Callithrix jacchus: one gene and its partners. The protein of the gene in region 1 interacts with the protein of each later gene in a pairwise test. Links are inferred from orthologs where the notes say so. Each region holds a gene or a part of one and is shown on either strand. Other genes may lie near its edges.

Region 1 (10,658 bases):
TGTATGCATTTATTTGCCTTGTGGTATTCTTCCATATTTGAACTTTGTAATCCAAACTCCAAAAGCAAATCCACCTGTCCTGCAAGGCTGTACTTTGTCCACCACCTTCCTATTGTAGTGGAAATAGACCATGAGCTCTCTCATAGCACCCAGTGGAACAGTAGAAGGGCTGAGGACACAGACCTTGATCTAACAGTAGAGGAAGGAACATACACTTTTTATATGTTATATCCAAGGAAATTGAATAAACTTGGATATTGTTGTTATTCTGTTAGTTATCCTGTTGATGCTCATTTGGAACAGGAATAGCTGATGACCATCATTCAAGATTTTACTGACTGCCATCCCTGTAGAGCAGAACTGAGAGTGACTGTTGTTGTCACATGCTCTGTTGATGGAGTATTTGTAGATCTTGGGAGGCAGGCAGGTGTGAACTTTGCCAGCTGTGGTTGCTTCGAGAAGGATTCCAGTGTTATCTTCAGGTGCTGTAAGATTAGGCCCATAGGACCAGACTGTTGATCAACAACATTTGCCAGGGGAGTAGTAATGGGGAGGTAGGCGATGAGGTTGCTTCTTTGATTCTGTCTTAATTAACTCCTCTGCCACAATTATTTCTATATAGAGGAGACGTTGGAATTTGAATCTTTGCAGGGTGGGATTTTCACCTAAAATGTTCTAAATTTAAGGAAATTATGAAGCCAAATTACCAGCTCATTTAAAGGGAGCCATTAAAGTTAGGGATTCCTGTTGTTTTATTTTTCTGAGCTGTTGGGTTGTAGTCTCTAGTGCTTGCCTACTGATGATTAACATTCTTAGTGTTTTAATAAATAGCTTCCATTTCCTTATATATGTGGTTTTATAGTTAGTATTCTTCAGTGTGGTATCATTATATCTAATTTGTCTGATTAAAAAACAGCCCGAGAAATTTGAATGAATTTCTGTGAATCTTGTATGTTCAGAAAATATTTTTGTTGGTAGAGGCAGAGCAGTGGAGATTTGACATTAAATGGTGAACAGCTTCTTTTTCTAGAAAGTATATTATTATTTTTGTTTGCTAAAGATAGAGTTTATTTCTTGTTAGTCAAGAATTAATTTTGTATAAGTTTGCTTTTTACACAACTTCTCTGTATATAGACAATTAATGGGAATGTTGCTGTCATAATTTAATCCAAATGGATTAGTGTTCGGTGGAAAACAATAGTTTACTTACTGAATGGTTAACCACTGTGCACCAGGGAGACAGCGTGCCAGTAATCTTTCACCTGTATTGGTGCATTTAATCCTTGCAATAACGTGTAAGGAAACAGAACAGTGTCATCCCCATATTAAGATGAGGCTCACAAAGGTTAAGTAATAAATTGTTAGAGGCCACACACCCAGTAAAGGTTGAATTTGGAATTTTAGACTTAGATCTGTCTAACTAAAAATACCTACCTTGTTTTCCAAGTACAACAGTGCCTTCCTGTATTTATTTTTATTGGTTTTTTTTGACAGTATTATCCGTACCTTTTCATGAATAACATTGACATTATATGTTTTTAAAAGAGAAATGCTCCAAGCTCTATATGATATATAATTTTGTATTTTAACTTTTCTTGACCTGTGGGATGAACTGCGTTTATGCTGTGGATACTGTAATTGTTATATCATTGAAATGGCCTTCTGTGCTCTCAGTTTTAAAACAATTCAGTTACTTGAAATATCTAATAATACTGTGAGTAACAGAAGAAAAAGTTTGCTGTGGAAATGCTTCTGCCACTTAGTTTTTGATGATTTGGTCCGCTAGCCTAAGTAACTAAAGTTGCAGAAGATTTTCTTTTAATTCTTAATTAAATATTAAAATATGTTAGGGTTATATTAAAATAAGTTAATTAAAATTAACCTATTAATGTTAATTGAGTTAGGTACAAAGGGAAGATAATACTGAATTTAAAGTGATAGCTGAGTCTTCGAAATACCAATAAAATCTGCATTTTTCTAAGATGACTAATAGATTTTTATTTTTAGATTGATTTTTAAAACAGAACATATAAAATAATTTAACACAGTCTCATTAAACTTGCTTTTCACAGTGGTTGTAACTAGGTTGAACACTTAGCATTTAACTGCATTCTCACAGCATTGACTATTTTATGTATTATGACGTCTATATTGTTACATATTATGTGCTATTTAGGTAATACATTTTATATACAATATAGAACTATACATATATAAAAAATATAGGTTATATGTATATATTTTTTCCCTCATAGCCTTGCCATTTGGTAGGTGGAAAATGATTGTGAATTCCTAACAGGAATTGTCACTATTGATTGTCACAAATCATTGTGAACCATCAAAGGAAAATAGAATTCAAGTAGTATAATTTAAAAATATCTATAGAATGAAAACTTTTTTCTTCAGAAACATTTTTTTTTTGGCCCTAATAATGGTAATTGTTTTCAGTTAAGGCACAGGAAGTTTGGGTATTACATTACTTCTTTTGAGGGAAAGTGGAATGGAGCAAGATCAGTCTCTGTACTTTCTAAATATGTTTATCATATCTACATAGTAACTTTAAAAGTGTTAATGTAAAACACTGTTAAGTAGTGGTGGCTGGATATACCTTCTTATGTAAAATGAATAATGAAATCCTTCATCTGTAATTGCAGAGTCCTTCAGTATCTCCTAATACGAGTTTCACATCTGATGGCTCCCCATCTCCAATAGGAGGAATTAAGCGAAAAGCAGAAGACAGTGACAGTGAACCTGAGCCAGAGGATAACGTCAGGTGAAGCCATTTTTTGGTAGCACTTTGTTAGCAAATTGCTGAAATAGATGCAGTCTAATTAATGCTATTTAGCTTAGAGCAGCAGTGCCTTCAGATGCTTGCCTGTGATCTTTTTATCCACCAGTAATTAATGTGGAGGGTTAGAAAAGTCAGTAAATTCCAGAGAGATGGGTAAGCTATAGCTGTTAAACCTAAGTGTCTAGATTAGTATGCGTGCAGGCTTTCGTCCTCCAATCCACTTTCCCCTCTGAGACCAGGCACAAGATCGGCTAGACATGAGGTGTTAGCTCTGACTATGTGATCTGAATGTGGCTGTTTGGAGACTGAGTAAAGTTTCGAGCTGCTTAACCTAGAAAGTTCGGTCAGTACTTAGACACTTAATATAGTTTGCTTTAATCTTCTCAATTGAAAAAGTTCTTCCTCAAAATGAAATATGCAGAAATCATTCTGTTAAGAGATCAATATGTATGTTTTTTAAAAACCACAAACTTGCATATGCACAATTATATTTCATGACAGAGGAGTTTCCCTTTAAGTAGATACTTCAAATTTATAATAGGAAGCTGGTTCTTTAATTCATCCTGAAGTTTGAGATCATTATATAATAAGATTAACAACCTCTCATGTAATTAAATCCAGATTTGAACCGTGGGCTCCAAGTGCAAAAGGCCAACAATCTCAATAATTGTAGCTCATTAAGAATTTAGGAAAACGATCTATTTCAAAGGTAAACAAGACAGTAGTCACCTACAGCTCATGCTTCTTTTACAGGACATGGAAAGTGTGTGATTTGTGTTTATGATTAAACTTTGCAAGGGTCATGTGTGGTTCTGCATTTTTCTAACATCCTTTGATATCAGATCCATGTCTACTTGTGCTCGAACATTTCCTCTGTATATCTTTAGTTTCTGTCCTCTACTTTCTGTACTTTGGATTTTCCCCTTAGAGCATGTCTTTGGTTTTGTTTACTATGTAGCCATCATGATCAATACTAGTTTAGTAGGTAACTTGATTTGTTTAGTATTTTATTGTTTAATCCTGGTGCTGAGGGTAATCAGAGTGGAAATGCCTCTACCAAAAAATGCTTGGGGCTTTTAGCATTTTTTCATTTATATTTTCTGTAAAATAGTGATAATCCATTTTATGGATAAGGGGATATTTCTAATTGTTCTCTGAATCCTTTGTATTGTGGGAGGGATATATTACAATTGATAATGGTATATTCTGAAACATGACTGCAATTAATATATGAAATCTGATACTTAGAAAAGATGCCTAAATGAAGATTCAAGAGAATCATCTTGATGTTCTTGATCTGTTCCGATGTTTTAAAAAGTGTTCTTTGGCTTCTTCATGTTCCTTAAATCAAATGTTAAATCTTAAGAATAAGAAATGAATTCTTAAAAAAACACAATATATTGGGTGAAAATGTAGTTGGTCACATTGTATTTTCAGTGATGAATGATAATTTAGTGGATTCTTTGACCTGCTTCTAGATTTTACTGTAACATACATATGTTTGTGTGTGTATATGTATACATAGATATATAGAGATATAGAATGTGTGTGTCTCTCTATATATATCTCTATCTCCTTTCCTTAAGCCATCAACAGCTCTTAGCTGAAAGAGGGATAAGGCCCAAGCAAGGATAGAGAGAGTAGGTATACACATAATTTCTGCCTAATGTCTAGATTATTCTTTTATGAACTATTTTTTATATTTAAAAAAGTTACCTGTGCAGTCTTAAGTAATTTAGTTGACTTTCTTTGTATAGTTTAAATATATTTTAATAAACTAAGGAACTTGAACTATATAAAATATCTTCAATATTTGAATCTTAAAATGTAGCTTTAAAATTGTACAAAGAAACATGTAAAGCAATATTAAAATTTGAGCAAATGTGTTCTGTATCTTTTTCAATAACATTTTTTAAAATGTGGTTTTATAGTGGTCTTAGCAGAATCAGTGATTGGGGTGTTAGTGTTTAATTGTCTTTAAGTTGATAATAAATCCTATGAAATTAGACTTTTTAGAAATAATGAAAAAGAAATAATGAAATGAATCTGTGTTAGCATGACTGTTTTCCTTTTTCATATTTCCCCTGGATGTTAAATATAAATTGAATTGGGGTGTAAATTGGTAGACAGCCTGTTACTGAAGGTGTGTTAATTCAGCATAAATGAGCTGTGCCTGGTTTTAGGTTATGGGAAGCTGGCTGGAAGCAGCGGTACTATAAGAACAAATTTGATGTGGATGCAGCTGATGAGAAATTCCGTCGGAAAGTTGTGCAGTCTTACGTTGAAGGACTTTGCTGGGTTCTTAGATATTATTACCAGGTACAAAAAGAATATTTTCCTCTGAATTTGTAGTCAATATTTTAAGAAAGATACTAATTTCTTTTTTTTTTTTTGAGATGGAGTCTTGCTCTGTCGCCCAGGCTGGAGTGCTGGGGCACAGTCTCAGCTCACTGCAACCTCTGTGCCTCTGCCTCCCAGATTTAAGCATCTCATGCCTTACCTAGCCTTCTGAGTAGCTGGGATTACAGGTGCATGCCACCACACATGGCTACTTTTTGTATTTTTAGGAAAGATGGGGCTTCACCATGTTGGTGAGGCTGGTCTCAAACTCCTGACCTTGTGATCCGCCCGCCTTGGCTTCCCAAAGTGCTGGGATTACAGGCGTGAGCCACCATGGCTGGCCTAGTAATTTCTATAGTAATAGATATTATTGAGCTGTATTCCGAAAACAAACCCAGGCTCATTTTTTAAAGTTTTCTATTCAGAGGTTCATAATTGTAAATGTTTGTGGAGACTTTGAAGCTTCTTAGTTATTAATATATAAACAAAGCTAATTTTTGTTAAAATTATTTCAACATCAAGTAATGTGGTTGACTGTACTTTGTCTTTAAGATGATCAGAGTTCAGTGCTTTTTAAATTGGAGTTTAAAAATAACTGAGTAATGAATTGACAGTCACTAAATGACTGAAAAAAGGAAAAGCCTGAAAAATACCAGTAAGAATTCTAAAGGAATTTGAATGCTACCATCTTTATAATATAGTGATGATACATGAAGTGCATTCTAACTGGAATAACCTGTATTCTCCCTTTTGATGATTGAGATGTCAGATTGGTGAGCGATTAGGTAGACATACTGAGGACTGTTAACACTGATAGTTAGTATCTGTTTTGTACTTAGAGAGCAAACCAGATTAACTTTGGTATGACCTGGGAATAGACGAAGTTTGTTGACAAGTAGAAAGTAGCACAGTGCACTGAGTATTGACTGTTAAGTACTCTGTTAGCATGTTTTACTCTTACTATCAAGATTTAAATTCACTAGACACTGTCAAAACACATCTTAGATCTCTCTTTTCTATGAGTATAACTTGTTTTATTTTCTTTTTGGTGTGTTTACTCACGTGTTTTTATAGGCAAAAGAAAGTTGTCATGTGAAAATACAATGGTGAATTGTAAAATGAAACTCGTGGCTGTTTTACTGTCAGACACTTTTCCAATAATGTCTCTAACCACCTTACATGCTCAGTAAATGTCAGCTACAACTGCTCTTGGTTTTATTTGATGATGATAGCTCTAGAGATGGAAAGAAATGTCACTATGTATTTTAAAGATAAAAATCTTCACCAAATTCTGTTTGCGAATATAAAGTTTGACATTAACTACTGATTTTTCAGAGATGCTTTGCAGTATTTTTAAAGTCAAAGAGCCATTGATATGAATTAGAAACTTCAAACTTAAACAGGTTTTAGGAGTCATGGAAAAGATAGTATTTGGAATATATACCAGAAGTTGTGTGTTTTGTAAATAGAATATTATAGGTTAACAGTCTAATTTTTGCTTTTTTTAATTGTCTCCATCATTAACATAGGTTTTCCTTTTTGTTGTAACTTTTTAATGATTCTAGGGCTGTGCTTCCTGGAAGTGGTATTATCCATTTCATTATGCACCATTTGCTTCAGACTTTGAAGGCATTGCTGACATGCCATCTGATTTTGAGAAGGGTACAAAACCGGTAAGCTTAATTATTTAAAGTCATAAAATTTACAGAATTTTGGATTAGATCATAATCTTGGGTATTTAACTTTTTTATTTTTGCAGTTTAAACCTCTGGAACAACTTATGGGGGTTTTTCCAGCTGCAAGTGGTAATTTTCTACCTCCATCATGGCGGAAGCTTATGAGTGATCCCGTGAGTCTCTGTATTTTGAGTATGTGGGTAACAGGATTTTCATCATACATTTTATTAATATTGAAACAGTGAAGTACAGAAACAAAGTATTTTGAGTTTTTTGTATTTTTTTTACTCCACATACACATATTTTTCTTACTTTCTTTGGCCCTGCACAGTAGATAAAATCAGTTTGTTTTTGGGAGAAGTTTTTATAACAGTCATTTTGTTCTCTGGCTACCTGTAAGTCTTTAACTTTATTTATTCCAGCCGTATATTGTAGCCACCAAAGATAGGGAGACTGCCTTACACCAAGTCACCTATGAACTTGTTTTATATGCTAGCTGGAAAGAGTGAGCCCCAGCAAGGAAATAGGAAGTGTTAGAGTATGTAAAACCTTTACTGTCTGCCTGCCTGTGGCCCATAGTTGTCAGTTCTAAAATTCTTCTACAATAATGCTTTTCCGTTGCATCTTTTAGAATAAATTGTTCATTTTGTTTTACTATATTTGTGATTAATGACCTAATGTCTCTTAACATTTTTTAAAAGGAATGCACTTTATTTTCTCATCAGGTCTTATAACTTGAATGAATCCTATCAAATTCTTTATAACAGAGATGTGTGACTTCTGTTTTGATTCTTTACTTTTCTCCCCGATACAGGATTCTAGTATAATTGACTTCTATCCTGAAGATTTTGCTATTGATTTGAATGGGAAGAAATATGCATGGCAAGGTAAAATTTAGATGTTCTTTTCTGGTAAAACTGTAAACACAGTTTTTGAAATGAAATAATTCTGTAAAAGATAAATATTTTAGCCTGGGCATCATAGTGAAATCTCATCTCTACAAAAAAATACAAAAATTAGTGTGGTGTGGTGGCTCACACCTGTAGTCCCCTCTACTTTGGGAGGCTGAGATGGGAGGATCACTTGAGTCTGGGAGGTCTAGGCTGCAGTGAGCTTTGACTATGCCACTGCACTATAGCCTGGGGGACAGAATGAGGCACTGTCTCATAAATAAATATTTAAAAAGGTAAATATTATAAGAATTGTATGTGAAATGTTAATATTTCTCCATCAACTTGGGATTAGCAATGATTAGTAGTAAATTTAATTATAACATTGTTATATGTAAAATTTCAGTGCTGCCAAAGAAATAACACTCGAATATAAATTGTCTCAACAAGGTAATTTACATCTATAGAAGGGTGCCTCTCACAGATAGAGCAATGGTGAGCACACACTTGAACAGGGGAGGGGAAGAGGTTTTTATCCCTGATGCAGCCCCTGCTGCTGTGTCATTCCCCTGTTGGTTAGGGGTAGACCGCACAATCTAAGCTAATTCTGACTGGCTATTTTTTTTTTATTTTTTGAGATGGGGTTTCGCTCTTGTTACCCAGGCTGGAGTACAATGGCACGGTCTCAGCTCACCACAACCTCCGCCTCCTGGGATCAGGCAATTCTCCTGCTTCAGCCTCCTGAGTAGCTGGGATTACAGGCTCGCGCCACCATGCCCAGCTAATTTTTTGTATTTTTAGTTAAGACGGGGTTTCACCATGTTGACCTCGTGATCCACCTCCCAAAGTGCTGGGATTACAGGCATGAGCCACTGTGCCCGGCCAGGCATGACTAGCTATTTTTAAGAGAGCAGGGATATGAGCCAGAGTCGCGGGGTAAGTGGTTTGGTGGGAAAATCGGTTATGGTACAGGTATTTAAAGGTGTCTCAAGGTTAGATCAGTTGACCATGGGTGACTCAGGTCAAAGCAGGTGCCTGGAATGAGTCAGGACGGAGCACGGGACCAGGGGAACAGATGTGAACTACTGATTAGAACTGGTGGAAAAGGCTGATTACTGAAAGTACAAGGAAGTTAAACTTAAAAATGGAGGACAAAGGACTGAACATACTGACATACTGATTCTTTGAAGAGAAATTCAGAACTCATTTCATCCAACAATTCCCTCCTCTTGAATTTTCTTCACAGCTTTCTCTTCAAACTTCCTTAGCATGTCTTGGCTTGGTTGTTCTGCTTGATTTTCTAAAAGAAGAAGCTTCTCTGAATAAGGTAGAGGGATAGTTAAGGGAGGTTTTAGTAAGTGTGGCTTCTTTGAGTCTCTGCACTAACCCATGGATGCATGGTATGATACAACACCCGACATGAATGAGTACACCCACTACGGCTGTAAGAGAAGTAAGAATTGAGGCTGTCGTTCCTATCCATTTACCAAACCATTTTCCTAGGCACCCTGTGTAGGGGTCATTTACCCTAAATTGTTGGCTAACTCATTGGACAGAGCCATTAGACCTTGCAATGCCTTTGTTATACTTCCATCGGGGGCAGTATTGTTTGGAATGAAGGTACAACAGTGAGTTTTAATCATGATGCAAACTCCTCCTGTCTCTGCTAGTATCATGTCTAAGGCTATTCTGTTTCCAAGCCGTCGGGCTGCTGGCTCCTAATTGCTCAACTATTCCTTTAACAGCACCTCCAGTGTAGTTAATAAACTGCTCTTGGTTGTAACAAATGTAATTTATCCAATCTACATTTTTATTAACTGTCACCCACCAAAATACGGGCTCAAATCCTGCAGCTGTTTAATCATGGGCTTTAAATTTATCTGCTACTCCTGTGGGACTCCAATTGCATCTAAATAGACATGAGTCAAAAGACCCATAAGGGGTTTCTTTTGCTTTATGATGTTGTATTTTTTCTTCCTCTGGTTGATGAAATGCCAGGGTGAAAGGGATAGCCAGTTGGATTAGAGCACAAGTGCCACTCCAGTTACTTGGCAGAGTGTCTAGTAAAAGTCAACCCCAGTACCACTACACATCTGCTTGGGGATGACCAAGGGCTGACTGATTGGTAAGCTCTCGAAAATTCTTCAGCTCACTGCATCCCTTTGGGTCTCCATGGAATGCTAAGTTTCCTCCTTGTTGTGAGAGACACCAAGTGAACTTAGTGTAGGGAGATGGAAGCTGCATGGCCGTCAGGGGCTGACCCTCAGGGTGTCGAACTTCGGGCTATGGCAGAGAGTTTGTTCTGACCTGCTACCCTAGGCTGTGGAATCCTGGAAAAGAGCTACCGTGCAGCGCATGCCTGGTCAATTAGAAGACCATCCTAATGGAAAGGGGACAATCTGGGCCTCTGGCCTGTCATGCACACAAGCATAACAATTGCTTTTGTTTAACGTGCAGATGGAATATTTGATCCATTTCAACCAGACATTTGCATTTTGCTATCCTGTCTCAACTGACAAATTTTTGTTTTAAGTCTTTAACTTCTACAGTAACTACCTTGGTCTTGTCATTAGATGGAGGAGAAACAATTGTTTTGTTGTGAGAGGTTTTGGAAGCAGGCTTAGAGGTTAGGGTAGGCAATGGAGGGTCAGTGAAACATATTTCAGAGGTTCTGATAGGGTCTTTTTTTGAAACCTCAGCCCCCATACCATAAAACCAACTTAAAGAAGGGAACTGGCTTGGATAAGAAGGGGGAGAACTTTGAGGGTTTGAAATGATAACCTGTATAGGATTACAATGATTTAGCTGACAGGGGAAGCTGTTCCTTTAGTAAAATGAATGTATGGTTTTAGGAAATTACAACTACTGATTGGGGCAGTCGCTCCTTGCTCTTTAGTGGTCCACAGAACGTTGGACCAACTATGGCAAAAAAGCTCTATATAGGGGTCAGAGGCAAGACTC
Region 2 (10,658 bases), on another chromosome or scaffold:
CAGTGGATTTCATCAATGTCAGTACTCTGGTATGATATTGTACTATTGTTTTGCAAAGTGTTGTTATTATTAAGAATTGGGTATAGGTACATGAGATCTCTCTATATTTTTTCTTGCAATTGTATGTGAATTTAATAAAAAGAAAAAAGATAGAAAAAAGTAGTGAATTTTTAAAATTGAAAAACTAGGCTAAAATCAATGAGAAAACACCAGTAATTTCACAGTAATTACAATTATTGAGACTACATGGGTTAAGACCAGCAATTCAAAGACAAAATCTTAGAATGGGTTTCATACAATTCAGCAAATGTTTTGTGTAGGTGTCATTTTTAAAATATGCAAATAGACTGAAAACATAGAATAGTAAAAAGATAAGCTGGGTAAAATGGAACTAAAAGAGTGTTGGAATAACCATGTTAATATCAGAGAAAATAGACTTTAAGGCTAAAATATCATATAAACAATGAAAATTGTCATCTATAGAAAAGAAGCAGTTAGAAAATTTAATGATTGGAACCCCTAGGTATCTAAAATCATAGTCTGAGACTCATAAAACAACCAATAAAACTGTGGGATGAAATGGAAGAGTCAAGAATTATAGTTGGAAATTTAAAACACTCATTTCTGAAACTCACAGATGAAGCACACAACAAAAAAAATAAAAATTTTAATGACATAATATACCTTCGCTTTACACTCAGTGAACACAATGCTCATTTGTGGACACATATGGAAAATTTACAACAATCAATGAAGTACTAGGTGATAGAAGAAGCCTCAGTTAATTTTACACAGTTAATTCTGAACCAGTATGCAATAAAATTAGATATTAATCTAACAAAAAGGGAGGTGAGAAAAAATTCTTCTGTTTAGAAACTGAAAAGCATACCACTATACAGCCCTTGAATTAACAAGGAAAACATTAAGAAAGACACGAAAAAGCTGTCTGTAAAATCTGCTGGACAATAATGCTGTAAATTCTAAAAATAAATATAAAGCAATTACAGAAAAATATTATGAACTGATGGTTTTATGATAGGCCCATAGATGTTTGTTAAATTATTTTTGGTATTTTTCTGTATATTTAAAATATTTAATAATTAAAAATTTAAATAAACATATATTGAACATGGTTAAAGTATTATTCAGACAAAAATTAAGAGCTTTAAATATATTTATTATAACATTAAAATATCAAGAGAGGAAAATAAGAAAAAGAAAACAAGTGAGTTAAGTGTTTATCAGAAGCTAATAAAAATTAAGATAATCCAAATGATGGGGAAAATGGAAATATAAAGATAGGAACAAATCAATAAAATAGTGCACAAAAATCAATGTGAAGATTAACAAAGCAAAAATTTGTTCTTTGAAGAGGTTAATAAGATAGCAAACCTTTGATAAGACTAAATAAGATAAATCAGAAAAAGAATAAGTAAAACATATGCCTAAAAGGAGATCTATAAACAAGTAACTTTTAAAATCGTTTTTAAAATTATGAACAAACATGTAACAATACATTGGAAATTCATTAGAAAGTGGATTAATTGGATGGGCGTGGAGGCTCACGCCTGTAATCCAGGCACTTTGGAGGCCACCAAAATGGGCAGATCACCTGAGGTCGGGAATTCAAGAAAGTGGATTAATTTAGACGGTGTCTGGTGGCTCACACCTGTAATTCCAGCCCTTTGGGAAGCTGAGGTGGGTGGATCACCCATGAGGTCAGGAGATTGAGATCGTCCTGGCCAACATGGTGAAACCTCATCTCTACTGAAAAAACAAACAAACAAGCTGGATGTGGTGATGTGTGCCTGTAATCCCAGCTACTCGGGAGGCTGAGGCATGAAAATTGCTTGAATCCCGGAAGCAAAAGTTGCAGTGAGCTGAGATCGTGCCACTGCACTCCAGCCTGGTGACAGAGCAAGACTCTGTCTTAAAAAAAAAAAAGAAAGAAAAGAAAATAGATTAATTTATATAAAGGTTATATAAAATATTTAAATGGATGGAAGAATAAATGGAAAAATTGAATAGAGTGTAAAGGTTAAAGATATTGAAGTGGTAATAAAATGGCTCCTCCAACAAAACCCTTGGGAAAAGGATAGGGAACCCAAGAAAGGAATAAACAGGCAATGAATATGAAAGATAATGCACAGAAGAAAGTCTGAGTGGCTATGAAATGATCCTAGTGGAGAAACGCAACTTCAGACAAGATCCCACCTTTTACCTATTAGATTGGCTAAAATTAGGAAAATGAAAATACCAAAGTGCCCCCAAATAAGGACTGCTGTTTCCAATGTGCATCAGACCCCATTCCTGTACTTCTGCTCCAGTGCATCTCAGAAAATCTGTTCCCTCTCTCACTCTCCTTCCCTCCCTTCCTTCCCTTTTTATTTTCTTCCTTTCCTTCCTTCATCCTTTTCTTATTATATTTTTTCTCTTTTTGTTATTTTAGATTGGCATAGACATAAAATACATACATCACAAATGTACAACTTGATGAATTTTCACTAAATGAATTCATGAAACCATCACCATCAAGAAATAAATTGCTTCTTGTACATGAGAAGTCCCATTATGCCTCTCCCATTGTCAATCACCACGCCTAGCCTATTTTACTTGGATTTTTGAAGAAAGTTCAGAATGGTTGCATAATTCTAGATTGGCAGTTAATTTCTTTCAGCATTTTAAAGATGTTTGATTGTCTTCTACCATTCACTGTTTCTGTCACCCATACTTTTCTTCCCTTGAAGTTAATGTGCCTTTCTTTTCTCTCACTGCTTTTAAGAGTTTCATTCTGTCTTTGGTGTTTAGAAGTTTCATTATGATGGGCCTAGGTGTGTGTTTTCTTTGATCTTTTCCTATTTTGAGTTGTAGTACTTCCGAAATGTGTGGTTTGATGTTCATTGTCAATACATGATATTCTTTGCTGATAATCTCTTCTAATATTACTTCTGCCTAATTCCTTGTTTTTCCTTCTGATCTCATTTATGGATGTTGGCTTTGGGAGAATCCATATGTCTAAAAAAAATAGGAAACATGTTGGAGAATGTTGATGGAGAACTGGAATACATAAAAGAAAATCAAATTAAAAGTAACTGAAATTTAGAATACAACAGTGGATTGAATAGCAGAGTAGAGACAGTAGGAGGAATGATTATTAAATGGAAGTTAAGTCTATAGAAAATATCTAGCATGAAGCTGTCTGGATGGATGAAAATATATATTTTCATTGGCAATTCCTAATTTTTGGCTTTCCAAAAAAATCAAAATTTTTGTCAACATTGAATTTACATTTCTTACAGTTTCAGTGTGCCTGAGCTGATGGGTTGATGATATGTGCTCCATATACAGGGATATGTCTTCCTAACTAGCCAGGGTCACTCCTTTCTATTGTCTTCTACCACTGAAGCTGAATATTAGTTGTTATGCTTTGTATCATCCCTTCCCTGCTTTGCACATTTACATTGTATGCTGGGCATCGTATGTATTTAAATTCATGATCCATGTTGAAGATGGTATAAAGATACCAAAAAATGTGAAAGAGATTTGGAACTGGGTAGTAGGCAGAGGTTGGAACGGTTTGGAGGGCTCAGAAGAAGACAGGAAGATGTGAGAAAGTTTGGAATTTCCTAGAGACTTGTTGAATGGCTTTAATCAAAATGCTGATAGTGATATGGACAATGAAGTCCGGGCTGAGGTGGTGTCAGAGATGAGGAACTTGTTAGAAATTTGAATAAAGGTGACTCTTGTTTTGCTTTAGTAAAGAGATGGGCAGCCTTTTGCCCCAGCCCTAGAGATCTACAGAACTTTGAACTTGAGAGACTGATTTAGGGTATCTAGTCGAAGAAAGGCCTAAGCAGCAAAGCATTCAAGAAATGACTTGGGTCCTCTTAAAAGAATTTATTTTTATGCATTCACAAAGAGATGATTTGCAATTGGAACTTATGTTAAAAAGGGAAGCAGGGCATAACATTTAAGAAAATTTGCAGCCTGATGATGCAATAGAAAAAATTCCATTTTCTGAGGTGAAATTAAAGCTTGCTGCAGAAATTTACATAAGTAACAAGCAGCCAAATGTTAATCCCCAAGACAATGGGGAAAATGTTTCCAGGGCCTGTCAGAGGTCTTCATGGCAGCCCATCCCACCACAGGCCTGGAGACCTATGAGGAAAAAACAGTTTCTTGGGCTGGGCCCAGGGCCTTGCTGCTTTATGCATCCTCAGGATTTGGTGCCTGTGTCCCAGCCATGGCTAAAGTGGCCATTGTACAGCTCAGTCTGTTGCTTCAGAGGGTGCAAGCCTGAAGCCTTGGCAGCTTACATGTGGTGTTGGACCCGTGGGTACACAGAAGTCAAGAATTGAGGTTTGGGAACCTGTGCCTAGATTTCAGAGGATGTCTGGAAATGCCTGGATGTCCAGGCAGAAGTTTGCTGCAGGGATGGAGCACTCATGGAGAACCTCTGCTAGGGCAGTGTGGAAGGAAAATGTGGGGTTGGAGCCCCCACACAGAGTCCCTGCTGGGGCACTGCCTAGTGGAGCTGTGAGAAGAGGGCCACCATCCTCCAAACCCCAGAATAGTAGATCCACTAATAGCTTGCACCATGCACCTGGAAAAGCTGCAGATACTTAGTGCCAGCCTGTGAAAGCAGCTGGGAAGGGGACTATGCCCTGCAAAGCCATAGGGGTAGAACTGTCCAAGAACATAGGAATCCACCTCTTGCATCAGCATGACCTGGATGTGAGACATGGAGTCAAAGGAGCTTTCAGAGCTTTAGGATTTGACTGCCTGGCTGGATTTTAGAGTTGCATGAGGCCTTGTAGCCCCTTTGTTTTGGCCAATTTCTCCCATTTGGGATGGGAGCATTTATCCAATGTCTGTATCCCCATTGTATCTTGGAACTAACTAACTTGTTTTTTATTTTACAGGGCTCCTAGATGAAAGAGACTTGACTTATCTCAAGTCTCTTTCTTATTTTACAAGGTTTCTAGATGAATGAGACTTTGGACTTGGAATTTTTGGCTAATGCTGGAATGAATTTAGACTTTGGGGAACTGTTGTAAAGGCATGATTGGTTTTGAAATTTGAAAGGGACATGAGATTTGGGAGGGGCCAGTGGTGAACTAATGTGGTTAGGCTTTGTGTCCCCACCGTATTTCATCTTGGATCAAGATCCCCATAATCCCCAAATGTCAAGGGAGACCAGGTGGAGGTAACTGAGTCATGGGGACAGTTTCCCAGTGCTGTTCTCAGGATAGTGAGATCTCACGAGATCTCATGGTTTTACCAGGGGCTCTTTCTCTTTTTGCTCTGCACTTCTCTTTCTTGCCACCATGTGAAGAAGGTGCCTTGCTTCCCCTTCACCTTCTGCCATGAATAAGTTTCCTAACGCCTCCCCAGCTACGCTGAACTTTGGGTCAGTTAAACCTCTTTCCTTTATAAAAACAGTCTTGGGTAGTTCTTTATAGCAGTATGAAAACAGACTAATAAAATACAGTCTAGCAATAGAGTGGAGAACAACGTAGTTATAAGCCCTACCCTCAGGGGGAAAAAAACCCAATAATCACATAAATAATTGGAACTGTGATAAATACTCCGAAATAAAAGTAAAAAATGCTAAGAGACCCATCATATTTTCCAGTTGGAAGGCAGATAATGTTTCCCCCTAAAAGGTTATTTAAGCCGAGTTCTGAAGATAACATGATTTACTCAGATGAAGGCCTGGGTATATGTGTGTTGGTGGGAAATGGATGGAGAGAAATGATCTAACTTGGAAGAGTTGGTCAGGCCTGAGGAGTCAAAGCAAGCCAGTAGGGCTGAAAACGGTTATGAGCAGAAGCCGTGTCGTACTGGTTGCTGAGTTTCGAAAAATACATAGGATTTTGGATGCCTTTGCAGACCAAGCAGCCAAGGACCAGCACGTTTCATGGTAACTTGATGGTGTACAAATCTGGTCCCTCTGATGACTCTTCTAGTTGAAATAATTCATCACTGAGAATTTAAGTCATGAATTAGAAGATGACTAGCTGACATTTAGCCAGATAGACAAGCTATTGACTTGGTATGATGAAATATCACTGAGTTCATTTTTATGCCTTTGTTTCCTCTCTGTCTCAGCTGCAAGTGTCCACTGCTTGGAAAAGTGTGGGAAGCTGACTTGGAAGCTTGTCGATTGCTTATCCAGAGGCTACAACTCCATGAAGCCAAGGGCAGCCTGTCTGTAGAAGATGAGGGGCAGATGGATGACCTAGTGGGAGCTGTCTGTTCAGCGGCTCCTCCCATTCCCCCTAGGCTCCACTCTGAGGATGAGAGGAAGACCCCTTTGCAGGCCCTGGAAGAATGGAAGGGTCACCTGAACCCCTCTCTGCACTGGGCTGGAGGCGAACAGAAAGAGGTCTGTCCTTTCCACATGGTGTCCAGAGGGGACCCTATTCTAAGGGGTGCTTTGGGACCATGCTCCAAATAGAAACAATTAATATTGGGAGGGCTTCCCATTGAGCTATATAAGCTTTTAAAAGTTTCAATAACTCTTGAATATGATTACAAAAAAATGTAGAATTTTTGTAGAAGTTTGAAATACAGAAGAGCAAAAAAACCCAGCTTTTGGCATATATAGTTCCACTTTCATTCTAATTTAGTGGCTAGAATTAGAATATGCAGTCTAATATAGAATTACCATATATAGCATTATATATGTCATATATATGACAGTTATATACACTATAGAGTATATATGCCATAATGACATTAAATATATATACTATAAATTATATGTCATGTGCCATATGTGATATTTAATTATATATTTAGAATCTATATATTACAATACGTTGTTATTTATTTGAATGAAACATTCAAATATATGTATATATCCCATTAATTCTTTTTACCAAAACCAGATCATAATGAATGCTTATCATGTTCTTCTTTCATATGCACAACTAAAGTTTGGCCTGAGATCTATGTATTACAAATTAAAATATTATTTTATTTAACTTTCTTTTTTTCTACCCTCTTTCCCCTCTCCCTTCCCCTTCCTCTCCTTACTTTTGCCCTCCCACCCTAACAAGAGTCTTTTCCATAAAAAGCCCCTAGGAAGTTTTTCCTGATTTCAGTGCCATGACCTGAGGCTTCAGAGCTCTTTGTCAATCCAGGTTCCCAGGTGTTCTAAGTGTGAAAAGGGAAAAGCATTTAGAGGCTGGAGGAACATGACACATGGCCTTCAAGTCTGATGGTTGATGTTAGGTGTTGGCTGTGCCTCCTTTCTGGGTCTTTGCCAAGACTCACCACTGGTGGGTGGGGAAATTGCCACCTCCCCAGGCCCGCCCTGGCAGCCTCACATCTCATCTACAGGATGATGGCCTTCACAGAGCAGACACTTGTGTTCTTAGTCACTGCCTCTGGACTGCTTGGAAAATTGATCCTTAATCCTATATTTGGATGGCATAGTCTTATAAGATAGCAACCATTGCACTCTGAATCCCTGCTGGCCCAATCACAGGCACTACATTAACTTACAGACATCTGAACTCTTTTTTTAACCCAGGTACTGCAGGTGGGAACCTTCAGGAAAGCCTGGCCTCCAATGCTCTGAGGAGAGGTGTTGAAAACTTACCACCTGCTGCAGGAGGATGGCTTGAAAGAATATTCTGGGGTGGAGGGAATGCCACCTAAGCAAGGATTTCTTGCTGGGTGGAAGAAACTGCAGGTTCTGGGAATGAGTCTTTGAAGGTGTGGCTGGCTTTCCAAAGTGAGCTACCAGGAGCTCAGTGTGGGACTGTGAGAAGCCAAGCCAGGTATGTGATGGGAGTCCCTGGGTCATTGATTCTGCTGGAGGCCAGGACTGATTCAGCAGAGATCCCTTCCTCCTGGAGGGGAGAAAAAAAGTATCTTTTAAAAAATCCATCAAAAGGTTCACAGCTGAGGCACCTATACAGACAGAGTAACAAGAGAAAAATATACAAATTTGTTCAATATAAAATGTATGTGACACAGGAGCCTTCAGAAATGAAAACCCAAAGCAATAGAAACCAGTGTATTTTTGTGCTTAAATTTGATGAATAGCAGGCAGATGTGGAGAAATATTATTGGACAAAAGGTGTATGATGTAAATGGCAATAAACTGGGGGAAGCTTAGTAAGGCCTGCTTGTTCAGATTCTTCACTGCATCCCTGTGTCTTCAGAGATAAGGATATTCCTTTCCTTTGGGCATAGTGTGTACACTTTAAAGATGAGGGTGTTATAATCTACTTTAGAGGAAGGTCAGAGAATTATTTATGGCCTGCTTCAGAAGAGAATGGCTGCAGAAGGTCAGAGAGACTTTCCTGCTTCTGCTGTTCCTCAAATGCCAAGGTGCCATATTTTGGGGCACTGTGCCCCATCACTCTCTTTCAACCTCTCTTTCTCCTTCTCTGCTTTACCAACTGAGCCCTAAGCCTTCCAGGCTCTCTGGGGACTGACTTTCCCAGGCATAGGAGGATTAGTTTTCATCCATATGATTGTAAGCACCTGTCAATTTCACTATCTGGCTATAAGAACACAGAGCTGTATTTGTGGAAAAATAGAAAGCTTAGGGTCAAAGATGAATAAAGAGAAGAGCCTTATCCTAGGTCCTGTGATGGCTGCTGTTTGGGAGTTCCAGGGGGTCCCTAGAGAGCCTTCCAGATCCTCTCCACCAACTGAAATGCTAAGGATGTCCTGTAGTTTATTTGTTGCTTTCTTGGGGGTGGGTGCGTGCTTTAGAGGGGTCTTTATAGCTTTTGCTGCCTTTTGGTATCATTTCCCTGTTCCTGTATCGCAGTGGTGGGTTTATATTTACAGAGAGAGCAGCCATTCTTTGAAGTCATGAGTGTCATGGATTTTAAGATGATGTTTTCTGAAAAGTTCAAAATTATGGGTCCAGAAAAAAGATCCGCTGTTTCCAGGAAAGGGGAAGGGACTCATTTACAAGAGCAACAGAAAGGAATTTGGTGTATGGAAGTTGGGGGCAGGATGATAAAAGTATTCTCTTTCTCAATTGTGGTGGTGGTTTTGTGACTATGCGTATGTCTAAATTCATAACTTCACACCAAAAAGAGTGAATTTTACTGTGTATGACTTTACAAAAAAGATTTAAAAAATGTTTTAGACGTCTACCCATTTAAAAACCAGACTATAGATGTTTGAGTCAGTTGCTTTTGTCTCAGGACTATCAAAAGGCAGTTTGGCCTGCTGGAAAGAGCCCAAGGCTGGAGTCTGAGTTTGCTGTGATCCCCAATTAAGTCTCTTACAGGCCGCATCTCCTCATCTGTTAAGAAAAACACCACCATCTCGATGAGAGGATAATGAAAACTGTCTCAGGAAGCTGTGCTGAAGATTTAAATAAAAGGATGCATCTCAAAATGAGACACACATACATAGTAGGAGCTAATTTGTGTTAACTTGTGTTTCTGTCACTCTTTCTGGCAGTCACAAACATCTAAAATGCTTCTTGTGTGCAGAATGCTAGAACAGCTATTTGTTTGGGAGAGGGTGTTGCATGACTCGGTCTCCAGGCTTAACTTCCCCTCTTGTATAAGGAGTTTGGGGAGCTCGAGATTTTGAAATTTTCCTTTACATGTATAATATACTCTGATTTTTGTCAAGAAGCAGATGTGAGCAATGAGTTAGTGGAGGATATCTAGACAGAGAAAGGTTTAATGAAGCAAAACCTTCCTGTTTATATTCGGGTCTAGGATTTTAGACTACTGAAGGTACAAAAAATGATAGCAAGGCTCTCACTGGGAAGGTGTTTTTGTTTTCCTGCCTGTCTTTTCCAAGGAGTCATTGAAGTCTGGGTACTTTGCATTTATCCTGTGGCTAAAATGTCTATTAGCTTTGCAGCTCTGCGTTGGTTTTGCTTTGGAACTCCCTGCTGGGTCTGACCATGCTATACTGGTTTCTCTACTGAAGCTTGATGCCCTGAAGGCAGTCAATTTCTTTTTGACTTACATCTTTCATGAAAAATTGCTGACTTCTTACAGAGGTCCACAGGGAGATGAGTTTTCAAAGCCTTTTCCATGAGTATCTGGCCAATGTGGTGATGTGCATTCTGGTGACACTTTGTCATCAGAAGGACTTTGTCGTTAATTAACACCTTCCCCGTGTCTACGGTCCTCGCTGGGCTGCTGAGCACCATTCCCCCATTTTACAGCTGGGCCCATTAAGGCAAAGCAATTTGCTTTGGACTCTGTTACAGAGGAAGTCCGCCACGGGGCTCAGTGCCAATCTTAGCATGAACTTCCTCAAATTGTAAGAGCCCTTTTCCAATTTCACGACAGCTGTCCTCCAAGCCTTTTCAAGGACTCTGGAAATGATCAGCTGCCATTGGCCCTGGTTCATAAATGTTACAGAAACTGTATTTGGGCCAGACAGGAGCCAGGGAAATCGGTGAGCCAGTGAAGTGGCTCTTTTGTACTGACTGTTCTGGCAATAATACCTGCGTAATTCTTTTATTTCCTGTCTGTAACCCGGCCTGTGGGGTGTTTTCTGTTTCTACTACTGTTTCTACATGACGTGCTCCCTGGACAGTATCATTCCTCCCAGACTTCTCATCCCAGCTGCTTCCTTTCTGAGCCAGTAGCTCCCACCAAAGAGGCCAAAAGAGGACCTGGCAATGTTGAGTCATCGCATGCAATATGTGAGTG
Region 3 (11,253 bases), on another chromosome or scaffold:
TGCCGCTGTGACATTACTTTCACCTGTGTTTCATATTCCGTAAAACGAACAAAGCCAAACCCCTTTGAATGACCAGTCTTAAGATCTTTCTTGACCTAGAAAGGACAATTTAAGTTTACTCTAAAAGTACACATACTCACACACTCCACTCCCAAATCAGAGTTCCTTAATAAATAATTTGAATGGTTTCAATTGGATACAGTGGCTTAAAATTTAAACCAAGTTAGTCTTAAGAGTAAAAATAAGGTTAATACTGAATCCATATTGTTAACAATATAGAGCAAAACTCACTTATACAATAGAAATGTTTTTGATTTTGAATTTTTAAAGAGATTGGGCCAGGCACGGTGGCTCACGCCTGTATTCCCAGCACTTTGGGAGGCTGAGGAGGGTGGATCGCTTGAGCACAGGAGTTCAAGACAAGCCTGGGCAACACAGTAAAACCATGTCTCTACAAAAAATACAAAAATTAGCAGGGTGTAGTGGCATGTGCCTGTAGCCCCAGCTACTTGGGAGGCTGAGGCACAAGAATAGCTTGAACCCAGGAGGTGGAGATTGCAGTGAACCTAGACTGCATCACTGCACTCCAGCCTGGGCAACAGAGTCAGATCCTGTCTCCAAAGGGGGAAAAAAAAAAAGAGAGAGAGAAACTACGTCTGGATATGTTGGCCAAGGTGGTCTTGAACTTTTGGCCTCAAGCCATCCTCCCACCTTGGCCTCCCAAAATGCTGGGATTACAGGCGTGAGCCACAACAGAATTTTAATAGAACATCTTAGAATGAGCTCAAATATAAACTAAATTGTTTACAATCTTAATTAAACAAAGCAGAAAAATCTCCCATTAGTGTAAAATACAAAGAAAAATGCTATTATCATCTACTTTCCTTAAGCCTTCGTGCATTTTACTTTATTATCAAAGGCAATAATATTGGGTACAAAATATATGTATAAATATAACAAATATTGGAAGTATCATCTATGGAACATGGACAGTGCCATTAAAATAACAAGAATGCGACCAGGCGCAGTAGCTTACAACTGTAATCCCAGCAATTTGGGAGATCAAGGCAGATGGACTGCCTGAGGTCAGGAGTTCAAGACCAGCCTGGCCAACAAGGTGAAACCCTGTCTCTGTTAAAAATACAAAATTAGCCAGGCATGATGGTATGCGCCAGTAATCCCAGATATCGGAGGCTGAGACAGGAGAATCGCTTGAACCCAGGAGGTGAAGGCTGCAGCGGGCCAAGATTGCACCACTGCACTCCAACGTGGGCAGCAAAGTGAGACTCCGTCTCAAAAAACCAAAAAAAAAAAAAAAAAAAAAACCGACAAAAAACAAAACACAAAACAACAACAACAACAAAAACAAACCTAACAAGAATGCAGCTGGGCAATGGTGGCTCATGCCTGTAATCCCAGCATATTGGGGTCAAGGCAGGAGGACAGTTTGAGCCCAGGAGTTTGACACCAGCCTGGGTAACAGAGTGAGACCCCCATCTGTTATTTATTTATATTAATAAATAAATGCTAGGTGCTCATTCACTGGTTAAAAAAAAAAAAAAAAAAAAAAAATGTTTGATGCAATCCAAGTTTACCTGCACCATAAGAACTTCTCCAAAGGTACTAAAATAGTCTTTCAGGTCCTGTTCAGTTGTTTTCCATGGGAGACCCAACACTATTAAATCGGATGTTTTCTGGACTGCTCTTTTCACTTTCACTGCTGATGAAGCATCTGTCTCATCCATTTTTCTTTTGTTATCTAAATAAAATGAGCAGAAACCTTTTAGAAATTTTCACTTAGCGCTTCTTTAAAAACACTACCTCCTACGTCTAGAAATGAGAAGCAAAAAGACTCTTAAGACTGGGCGTGGTGGCTCATGCCTGTAATCCTAGCACTTTGGAAGGCTGCGGCAGGCAGATGGTCTGAGCTCAGGAGTTTGCAACCAGCCTGGGCAACAGTGAAACTCCATCTCTACTAACAAAAAATGAGCCAGCCTGCACCAGTAATCCCAGCTACTTAGGAGGCAGGAGAATTATTTGAACCTGGGAGGCGGAGGTTGCAGTGAGCTGAGATTGTGCCATTGCACTCCAGCCTGGGCCACAGAGCAAGACTCCGTCTCAAAAAAAAAAAAAAAAAAGACTAAGAACTGTTAAGACACCAAAAACTTGGCAAGGAGTGATGTTTGCTCTAGAGGACAGAATAAAGGCTTGCATTTAGTGTCTCAGGTGCTTTTCTGGTGCAAATTCAGTGATTTCCAATTTTGTTTTTTGTAGTATTTCCAGATTACAATCTCTCCCTCTCAAAAGGTTTATCAAAACAAAAATAACTCTATTTTACTTTGACTTTAAATTTCCCTAATTATCTGAATGCCTATTACATAATTTAAGGGCTATATAACAAAAAATCAGCAACTTGTATCTCCTGAAGTAGATTTAACTTTAATCTTTCTTTCTTTCTTTTTTTTTTTTTTGAGACGGAGTTTTGCTCGTTACCCAGGCTGGAGGGCAATGGCGCGATCTCGGCTCACTGCAACCTCCGCCACCTGGGTTCAGGCAATTCTCCTGCCTCAGCCTCCTGAGTAGCTGGGATTACAGGCACATGCCACCATGCCCAGCTCATTTTTTGTATTTTTAGTAGAGACGGGGTTTCACCATGTTGACCAGGATGGTCTCAATCTCTTGACCTCGTGATCCACCCGCCTCAGCCTCCCAAAGTGCTGGGATTACAGGCATGAGCCACCGCGCCAGGCCTAACTTTTATCTTTCCTAAACTCTCAACAATGAATACACATTACTTTTCTAATAAAAAAGAAAACCAGGAACAGTGATGTGTATGCCTGTAGTTCCAGCAACTTGCAAGGCTGAGGAGGAAGGACAATTTGAGGTCAGGAGTTTGAGGCTGCAGTAAACCTATGAATAGCCACTGCACTCCAGCCTGGGCAACACAGCAAGAGCCCCCATTTCTAATTTAAAAAAAGAGAAAGAAACCAAAAGTTTGGCTTACTTAAAAAACATAAAACATAACCTTAACCTTAGGTTATTTACAAGAGGAGAGAATTTTTTTTTGAGATGAAGTCTCATTCTGTCACCCAGGCTGGAGTACAGTGGCATAATCTCCACTCACTGTAACCTCCACCTCCCAGGTTCATGCAATTCTCCTGCCTCAGCCTCCCAAGTAGCTGGGATTACAGGTGCCTGCCAGCATACCCAGCTAATTTTTGTATTTTTAGTAGAGATGGGTTTTTGCCATGTTGGCCGGGCTGATCTCTTAACTCCTGACCTCAGCTGATCCATCCACCTCAGTCTCCCAAAGGGCTGGGATTACAGGCATGAGCCACCATGCCCAGCCTGGGGAGAGATATTAAATGACATTTTTTTTTCTTTTGAGATGGAGTCTCGCTCTGCTGCCCAGGCTGGAGAGCAGTGGCAAGAGCTCACTGTAACCTCCACCTTCTGGGTTCAAGCAATTCTTTTGCCTAAGCCTCCCAAGTAACTGAGACTATAGGTGTGAACTACCACACATGGCTAATTTTTGTATTTTTAATAGAGACGGGGTTTTACCATGTTGGTCAGGCTGGTCTTGAACTTCTGACCTCAGATGATCTGCCTGCCTCAGCCTCCCAAAGTGCTGGGAGGCAGTGCACCCAGCCTGACATTTTAAATTTGGGTAAGTATTTCTATACCCAATTGCTCAAGAAACAGCATACTAAAAACCCTGAGTTAACATTATTAAAATTTTTCTTTTTTCTTTGTGTTTTTTTTGAGACAGAGTCTTGCTCTGTTACCCAGGATGGAGTGCAATGGCATGATCTCAGGTCACTAACCTCCACCTTCCAGGTTCAAGCAATTCTCCTGCCTCAGCCTCCAGAGTAGCTGGGACTATAGGTGCCTGGCTAATTTGTTTTTTTTTTCTTTTGTTTCGCAATGGAGTTTCACTCTTGTTGCCCAGGCTGGAGTACAATGGTGCAATCTCGGCTCACTTCAACCTCGGCCTCCCAGGTTCAAGCGATTCTCCTGCCTCAGCCTCTGGAGTAGCTGGGATTACAGGCACCCACCACCAAGCCTGGCTAATTTTTTGTGTTTTTAATAGAGACCAGGTTTCACCATGTTGGCCAGGCTGGTCTCAAACTTCTTACCTTGGCTGATACACCCACTTCAGCCTCCCAAAGTGCTGGGATTACAGGTGTGAGCTACTGCACCAGGCCCTAAAATTTTTCTAGACATGTAAATTAACATCTTGCATACTGACCAAATTTGATGGACTTTGTTGCAATATCAAGTTATAATAAAAGCAACACAGATCAACTAATAGCACACATTCATACTGCTGAAATTAGCTATTTCCTTGGCACATTTTTAAAATATCATGCTTTCTTTTCTCAGATTTAGAACATCAGTGATAAAATGAAGCAAAAAGGGTAAGACTAGAACCTCAAAATTGTAATTGGAACTGCACTAATTCAAGATTTGGCTACTGCAACTGCTGTTTATTTAAGGAAAAAAATGAAGTCAGGTTTCCTGAATGAATGATGTTAAGACCAAAAGGACAATGAACAAACTCAAAATTGTAATTGGAACTGCACTAATTCAAGATTTGGCTACTGCAACTGCTGTTTATTTAAGGAAAAAAATGAAGTCAGATTTCCTGAATGAATGATGTTAAGACCAAAAGGACAATGAACAAACCCAAATACTGGAGCACTGTAGAAGAATCTACTTACAACACTGATACAAGTCCCAAGCATTCTTAGTAACTCCTTACGTGGCAGAAACTGGGCAAAGCTTATTAAAATATTTTTTAAATACATCGTTCTCTCTTTTAAAATGATATATGATCCCCAGTTTCCACAAATTTAGACTCATGGTTTTCCAAACTTATCTAATTGTGAAGTTCAAGAAAATACTTAAGTTACAGGAGACCTGCCGCCACAAAGAGGCCATGACCCATGGATGAGACACACACCTGACTACGCTTCAGCACGATTACAAAACCAAATGGTAACAAACCTTTGGGATAGTTGACAACATACACCAGATTTCCCCAGCCAGCATCGGGGGCATGCAGAATTCCTTCCACCAGCCGGACACCTCTCATACATTGAGACACTGGATTCCTGTAGCGAAGCCCACAGGCCCCTGGAAACTGGGCTGTAACCGTGGACAGCAGCACGGTCCCATCATCTTCCGATGGTATTTCAATGGGTTCATCGTTCTCATCTTCGGTTACCCGAATATATTCAGACATCTTTTACTTTTCTTAAAAGGAAAAGAGAAATGAATGAACATTCACGCCAGAGTAATGGTTTCCTTCTAATGCTAATACCTACACCACGTTAGTGTTCTAACTTCCAGAAAAATTCTTCTCTGGATTCGTATATGCACTAGTATCCCTGAAAAATGACGAGGGGAAGGTAAGGGTAGTGATTTCCTATCAAAATCTGATGCCTCGCCAGTTCATTCAATCAACAAACTTTCCCTGAGGGCTTATGATATGTCAGGTATTGCAACTGTAACTGCTGAGTACAACGTGGTTTGCTGGTTACAAGCTGGGGTATGCAGGAGAATAACAGTAGCTATTTTATGACAGTCGCGGAAGTCGTTATGTAATCCTGAAGTCAGGAGAGGAGCCTAACAGGCTGAGGCATGGGCATGATGGGTTAAGGTCGATTTTCCCAATTAAGTGATGCATCAGCTGAACCTGAAGACTGAATATAAGCAGTGAACCAGGTGTAAAAAACAGCAGAAGAGTCCTCTCCATTCCTCATTTTGGGGCTTTCCGGGGGCTCTACAAGCCCGAGCCGCAAGGCCGGCGGCGACAGATCCTGGCGGTGCCGGCCTTCGCCTCCCAGAAACCCGCGCGTGCCAGCCTTGGGAGGAGTTTCTTAGCGCGGCCCGGGGTGGGGCGCAGGAGCACCAAGGCCCGAGCTGGCAGCGTCCCCGGACTGCAAAGTACCGAAGGCGCCGGCACTATTCAGGACCAGGCAAACCTTCGCCTCAGGCTGCGCGGCAGCGCGGGCAGGGTCCCGCTTTCGGCGCCTGCGGCCTTCCTGCGGCAGGACCTAACGACGCTCCCGAGCGAGTCCGCTCGGGCAGGACGAGGCCCGGCCTCACGGCTCATTTCCCTGGGCAGGGGCCGAAGCCGCTGCGTCCGCCTCGGGCTGCCCCAATGCGGGAGCCGAGACACCCAGGGCGTCCTCATTGAGAAGGCTCCGCGACTCACCCGCTAGGCCGCTGCTGGGAAGCCCGACAGGGACAGCGAGGCAGCGACGAACCAAAGCGCAGCCCAGCGACCGCTTCGCTCCCACAAAATGGCGCTAGAGCCGCCTCCTCCCTCTGCCCGCCGGCGTCCTCTCCCACCGAGCGCTTGTCAAGAGGGGGAGGGCGCCGAGGAGAGCCACGATGACCCTCTTCCCAGGGACTCGGGCTGCCTTCTCGAAATTCGAGCCTACAGAGAAGCTCGAGAGCTAAAATAAGACCAGGAACTAGGCCTGAAAAGCTGAAAATCGAAAAAAAATGTGGCTGTGTAGGCGCTGACCTCCCCCCACATAACGTAGCAGATGGTTTCGGCCGACCAACCGCCAGCCCGGGTCTCGTTCGGAGCTCGCGCACTTTCAAAGCGCGCGAGAGTAGCGCAGGGGCTCGGCCAAAAAGGGTGGGGCGGGGCCTGGAGGGGGCGGGGCTCGGGATCCCGGGCCAAATAGACTTGGGAAGCAGGGTAAGACCCGGACTCCTTTTCTGAAAGGCTGCCGGTTGCGTCCTCTCCTCCCTCCGCTAGCCCACCTCCAAACCTGGAAACAATAACTTTGTTCTAATAATAGCAATCAAAGCGCTACTTTGTGTCACGTATCTTCTGAGTACTCACATACTTAATAGCCCCAACAGTTTTGTGCGGCAGGAACTATTGATATTCATTCTGCGAGTGAGGAAACTGAGGCACAGAGCGATCAAGTATCTTGCTTAAAGTCACCCAAGGATAGGGTGATAGTAGCGTGCGCCTGTAATCCCAGCTACTCGGGAAGCTGAGACAGGAGAATTGCTTGAACCAGGTAGGCAGAGGTTGCGGTGAGCCAATATCGCCCCACTTGACTCCGATCTGGGCAAAAGAGTGAGACCCTGTCCCCCCGCCAAAAAAAAAGTTGGCCAGGCTCAGTGGCTGCTGCCTGTAATCCCAGCATTTTGGTAGGCCGAGGCGGGCGGATCACAAGGTCAAGAGATCAAGACCTCCTGGCCAATATGGTAAAATCTCATCTCTTAAAACAAAACAAAACAAAAGTCACCTAAGGAGTAAATGGTAGACCTACGGTTTGAATCTCGAGGCACAAAATGCTAACATGTTCTGGCTCCAGCCCTCTAATAATAATATAATAATACAGTATTTCATCTATTTTAAGGCACACTTGATTGATTGATTGAGATGGAGTCTCACTAGAGCGATCTGCAGCTCACTGCAACCTCCACCTCCCAGGTTGGAAGGATAGCTGGGATTATAGGAATGCAAAGACACCATGCCTGGCTTTGTTTTGTTTGTTCGTTTTGAGACTCTGTTGTCTGGGCTGCAGTGCAGCTGTTAAGTATGTGAGTACTCAGAAGATACGTGACACAAAGTAGCGCTTTGTTATCTCGGCTCACTGCAAACTTTGCCTCCTGGGTTCCTGTGATTCTCCAGCCTCAGCCTCCCAAGTAGCTGAGATACGTCCAGCTAATTTTTGTATTTTTGGTAGACACAGTGTTTCACCATGTTGGCCAGGATGGTCTCAAACTCCTGACCTTGTGATTTGCCCACCTTGGCCTCCCAAAGTGCTGGGATTACAGGCATGAACCACTGTGCCGAGCCTAATTTTTGTATTTTTAGTAGAGACTAAAAATATGTTGGCCAGGCTGATCTCGAACTCCTGGCCTCAAGTGATCTGCCCCACCTCGGCTTCCCAAAGTGCTGAGATTACAGACACGAGCCACCTTTCTTTTTACTTTCTTTCTTTCTTTCTTTCCTTCTTTCCTTCTTTCCTTCTTTCCTTCCTTCTTCTTTCTTTCTTTCTTTCTTTCTTTCTTTCTTTCTTTCTTTCTTTCTTTCTTTCTTTCTTTCTTTCTTTCTTTCTTTCTTTCTTTCTTTCTTTCTTTCTTTCTTTCTTTCTTTCTTTCTTTCTTTCTTTTTTCTTTCTTTCTTGACCGAGTCTCACTCTGTTGCCCAAGCTGGAGTGCAGTGGCACAGTCTCAGCTCACTGCAACCTCCACCTCCCGGGTTCAACCGATTCTCCTGCCTCAGCCTCCTGAGTAGCTGGGACTACAAGCATGCACCACCATGCCTGGCTAATTTTTGTATTTTAACCCCTTTGCCCAGGCTGGTCTTGAACTCCTGACCTCAGGTGATACACCGGCCTCCCAAAGTGCCACCACACCCAGCCTTTGTTTCACATTTCTGGAATCAGTATGTGATTTCAGTTCCAGTTCCAGTTGATGATATTGTGTCATAGTTTAATTGGTAACTATGTTTCTTTGTATATACATTAATAATTTAATGACATACAGTAAGAAATGTTTACACAAAGTATTTATTTATTTGTTTATTTATTTAAGATAGGGTCTCACCCAGGATAGAGTCACCCAGGATAGAGTGCAGTGTGGTGACCTCGGCTCACTCCAACTCCTGGACTCAAGCGATCTTCTCGTCTTAGCCTCCCGAGTAGCTGGGACCACAGGTGCACACCACCACACTCAGCTAATTTTTTTGCATTTTTGGTAGAGACAGGGTCTCTCCATGTTGCCCGGGCTGGTCTTGAACTCCTGGGCTCAAGTGATCCGCCTACCTCAGCCCTCCAAACTGCTGAGATTATAGGTGTGAGCCACCACACCTGGCCATGTACTTTATATTTATGTATTAACTCATTTTATCCTCTTAACAACCCTGTCAGGTAGGTGCCATTGTGAGTCATGGAGATTAAGTAGCGCTGCCCAAGCTCTCATGACCAATAAGTGGTGGAACCGGAATTTGAACCCAGGCCATCTGGTTGATGCTTTTTATGACTTTCCAGGGAATAAATAGTAAATCCTGCAAGTCCATCTCTGATGCCTGCTGTTCATATTAAGCAGATTATGTCTGAACTGATTTGAAGGGATAAGGGAGGAAGGATTGAAGGCAGATATAATTAGTGACCTTTACTCACCCCCAGAAATGGCCCTGCACATGGAATGAGGCTCGACAGATGGACCCTGATGGTCACTAACATTGTGAAACACAGGACAAGCCACAGAGATCTGATTCATCTCAATTAATACACCCAGCCACAGTGGGGGAGAAGTCATTTTGTTGTTGTTGCTGTTGTTCGTTTTTTTTTACTTTTTTTTAAATTTTAGAATTAGTTTCTTTTTAAAAGACAGGGTTTTGCCATGATGGCCAGGCTGGTCTTGAACTGCTGACCTCAGGTGATCTGCCCACCTTGGCCTCCAAAGTGCTTGGATTACAGGCGTGAGCCAGGGTTTTTGGTTTTTTTGGTTTGGTTTTTTTTGAGACAGGGTTTCCCTCTGTCACCCAGGCTGGTGTGCAGTGGTGCCATTATGGCTCACTGCAGCCTCTACCTCCCAGGCTCAAGTGATCCTCTCACCTCAGCCTCCCAAGTAGCTGGGATTACAGGTGCATGCCACCTGGTTACTTTTTGTTATTTTTAATAGAGACAGAGTCTTGACATGTTGCCTAGGCTGGCCTCCAACTCCTGAGCTTAAGTGATCCACCTGCCTCAGTCTCCCAGAGTGCTGGGATTACAGGCATAAACCACCGTGTCCAGTGAAGTTGGTTTTATCATTCCCATTTTACAGAAGAAAAATTTGAGGCTCATAGACCATATGGCAGGCCTGAGTTTATACAGCTGCTGAAGGATGTCACTAGCCCATAAATTGCTGTCCCAGGTTGGTCAGACCCTAAACTTCTGCACTATGTCCACTGCCCTGGCCATTCCCTGCAACAAGCTTGAGACTGAGGCATTTAGTGCGGGTAGTGCTGTGGAGTCCTGGGTGCTGGCTGCAGGTGGGCAGAGCTGGGTGTGCAGAAGCTCCTAGGGACAGGTCACACAGGAACACAACCCCAAAGGCTGGCCCTTCTCCCAAGAAATTTTCAGGCGTCCAGGCGCGGTGGCTCAAGCCTGTAATCCCAGCACTTTGGGAGGCCGAGGCGGGTGGATCACGAGGTCAAGATATCGAGACCATCCTGGTCAACATGGTGAAACCCCGTCTCTACTAAAAATACAAAAAAATTAGCTGGGCATGGTGGCGCGTGCCTGTAATCCCAGCTACTCGGGAGGCTGAGGCAGGAGAATTGTCTGAACCCAGGAGGCGGAGGTTGCAGTGAGCCGAGATCGCGCCATTGCACTCCAGCCTGGGTAACAAGAGCGAAACTCCATCTCAAAAAAAAAAAAAAAAAAAAAGAAAAAGAAAAATTTTCAGGTGAGTTGGGAGGACAAGCAAACACTGTCTTAAGGAAGGTCAGTAACTCAATCAGGAAGAGAATTTGAAGGCCAGAGGGAGGCTGGACCACAGATCCTCCTGCTCCTGTCTCAGTTAGCTCTGGGATTCAGCTTTACAGCACTGATTGTCAAAAGTCATTTGAACCGCAGCATTTTATTTGTTTCAAGACAGAGTCTTGCTCTGTCGCCCAGGCTGGAGTGCAGTGGCACAATCTCGGCTCACTGCAACCTCTGCCTCCTGGGTTCAAGCTATTTTCCTGCCTCAGCCTCCTAAGTAGCTGGAACTACAGGTAGGCATGCCTGGCTAATTTCTGTATTTTTAGCAGAGATGAAGTTTTACCATGTTGGCCAGGCTGGTCTTGAACACCTGACCTCAAGCGATCCTCCTGCCTCAGCCTCCTGCAGGGGTGAGTCACTGTGCCCGGCCCAGCCCCCCGTTTTCAACGAGGTTACTTGGGGACTTGCCTTCTCCTCTTCCAGCACCTCCCTCAAATTCCCTCAGCTCATCAGCCCCATGAGACGAACAGGAGGCAGCTCCACAACATTTCTGAAAACTGAAAGAAATAGCAGGGCAATAATTTTATTTATTTATTTATTTATGTAGGTGTGCACCACCACATCTGGCTAATTAAAATTTTTTGTAAAGATATGGTCTGGTTATGTTGCCTAGGCTGGTTATAAACTCCTTGCCTCAAGTAATCCTCCCATCTTGGCCTCCCCAAATGCTAGGATTACAGGCACACACCACCCCCCAGCCAATAAAGATATTTAAATAAAAATAACTTTAGGGCCAGGCGAG

Evidence for each region.
Region 2: the proteins of XRN2 (region 1) and DISC1 interact in binary tests that used the Homo sapiens proteins (3 or more experiments, as listed by UniProt). The link is inferred for Callithrix jacchus from reciprocal best matches to the Homo sapiens genes XRN2 and DISC1.
Region 3: the proteins of XRN2 (region 1) and TARDBP interact in binary tests that used the Homo sapiens proteins (3 or more experiments, as listed by UniProt). The link is inferred for Callithrix jacchus from reciprocal best matches to the Homo sapiens genes XRN2 and TARDBP.

What each region holds. Positions count from the first base shown.
Region 1 is NC_133506.1:28,362,550-28,373,207, forward strand, and holds part of XRN2 (5'-3' exoribonuclease 2), read left to right. Parts: intron 1-2,654; coding exon 2,655-2,773; intron 2,774-4,974; coding exon 4,975-5,110; intron 5,111-6,696; coding exon 6,697-6,804; intron 6,805-6,890; coding exon 6,891-6,980; intron 6,981-7,621; coding exon 7,622-7,694; intron 7,695-10,658. UniProt on the Homo sapiens protein: Possesses 5'->3' exoribonuclease activity. May promote the termination of transcription by RNA polymerase II.
Region 2 is NC_133520.1:52,932,978-52,943,635, reverse strand, and holds part of DISC1 (disrupted in schizophrenia 1 protein), read left to right. Parts: intron 1-6,111; coding exon 6,112-6,388; exon of another isoform or gene 6,389-6,989; intron 6,990-7,540; coding exon of another isoform or gene 7,541-7,588; exon of another isoform or gene 7,589-8,130; intron 8,131-10,658. UniProt on the Homo sapiens protein: Involved in the regulation of multiple aspects of embryonic and adult neurogenesis. Required for neural progenitor proliferation in the ventrical/subventrical zone during embryonic brain development and in the adult dentate gyrus of the hippocampus.
Region 3 is NC_133508.1:48,882,745-48,893,997, reverse strand, and holds the start of TARDBP (TAR DNA-binding protein 43), read right to left. Parts: upstream 6,306-11,253; 5' UTR 6,221-6,305; intron 5,257-6,220; 5' UTR 5,246-5,256; coding exon 5,008-5,245; intron 1,760-5,007; coding exon 1,596-1,759; intron 96-1,595; coding exon 1-95. UniProt on the Homo sapiens protein: RNA-binding protein that is involved in various steps of RNA biogenesis and processing.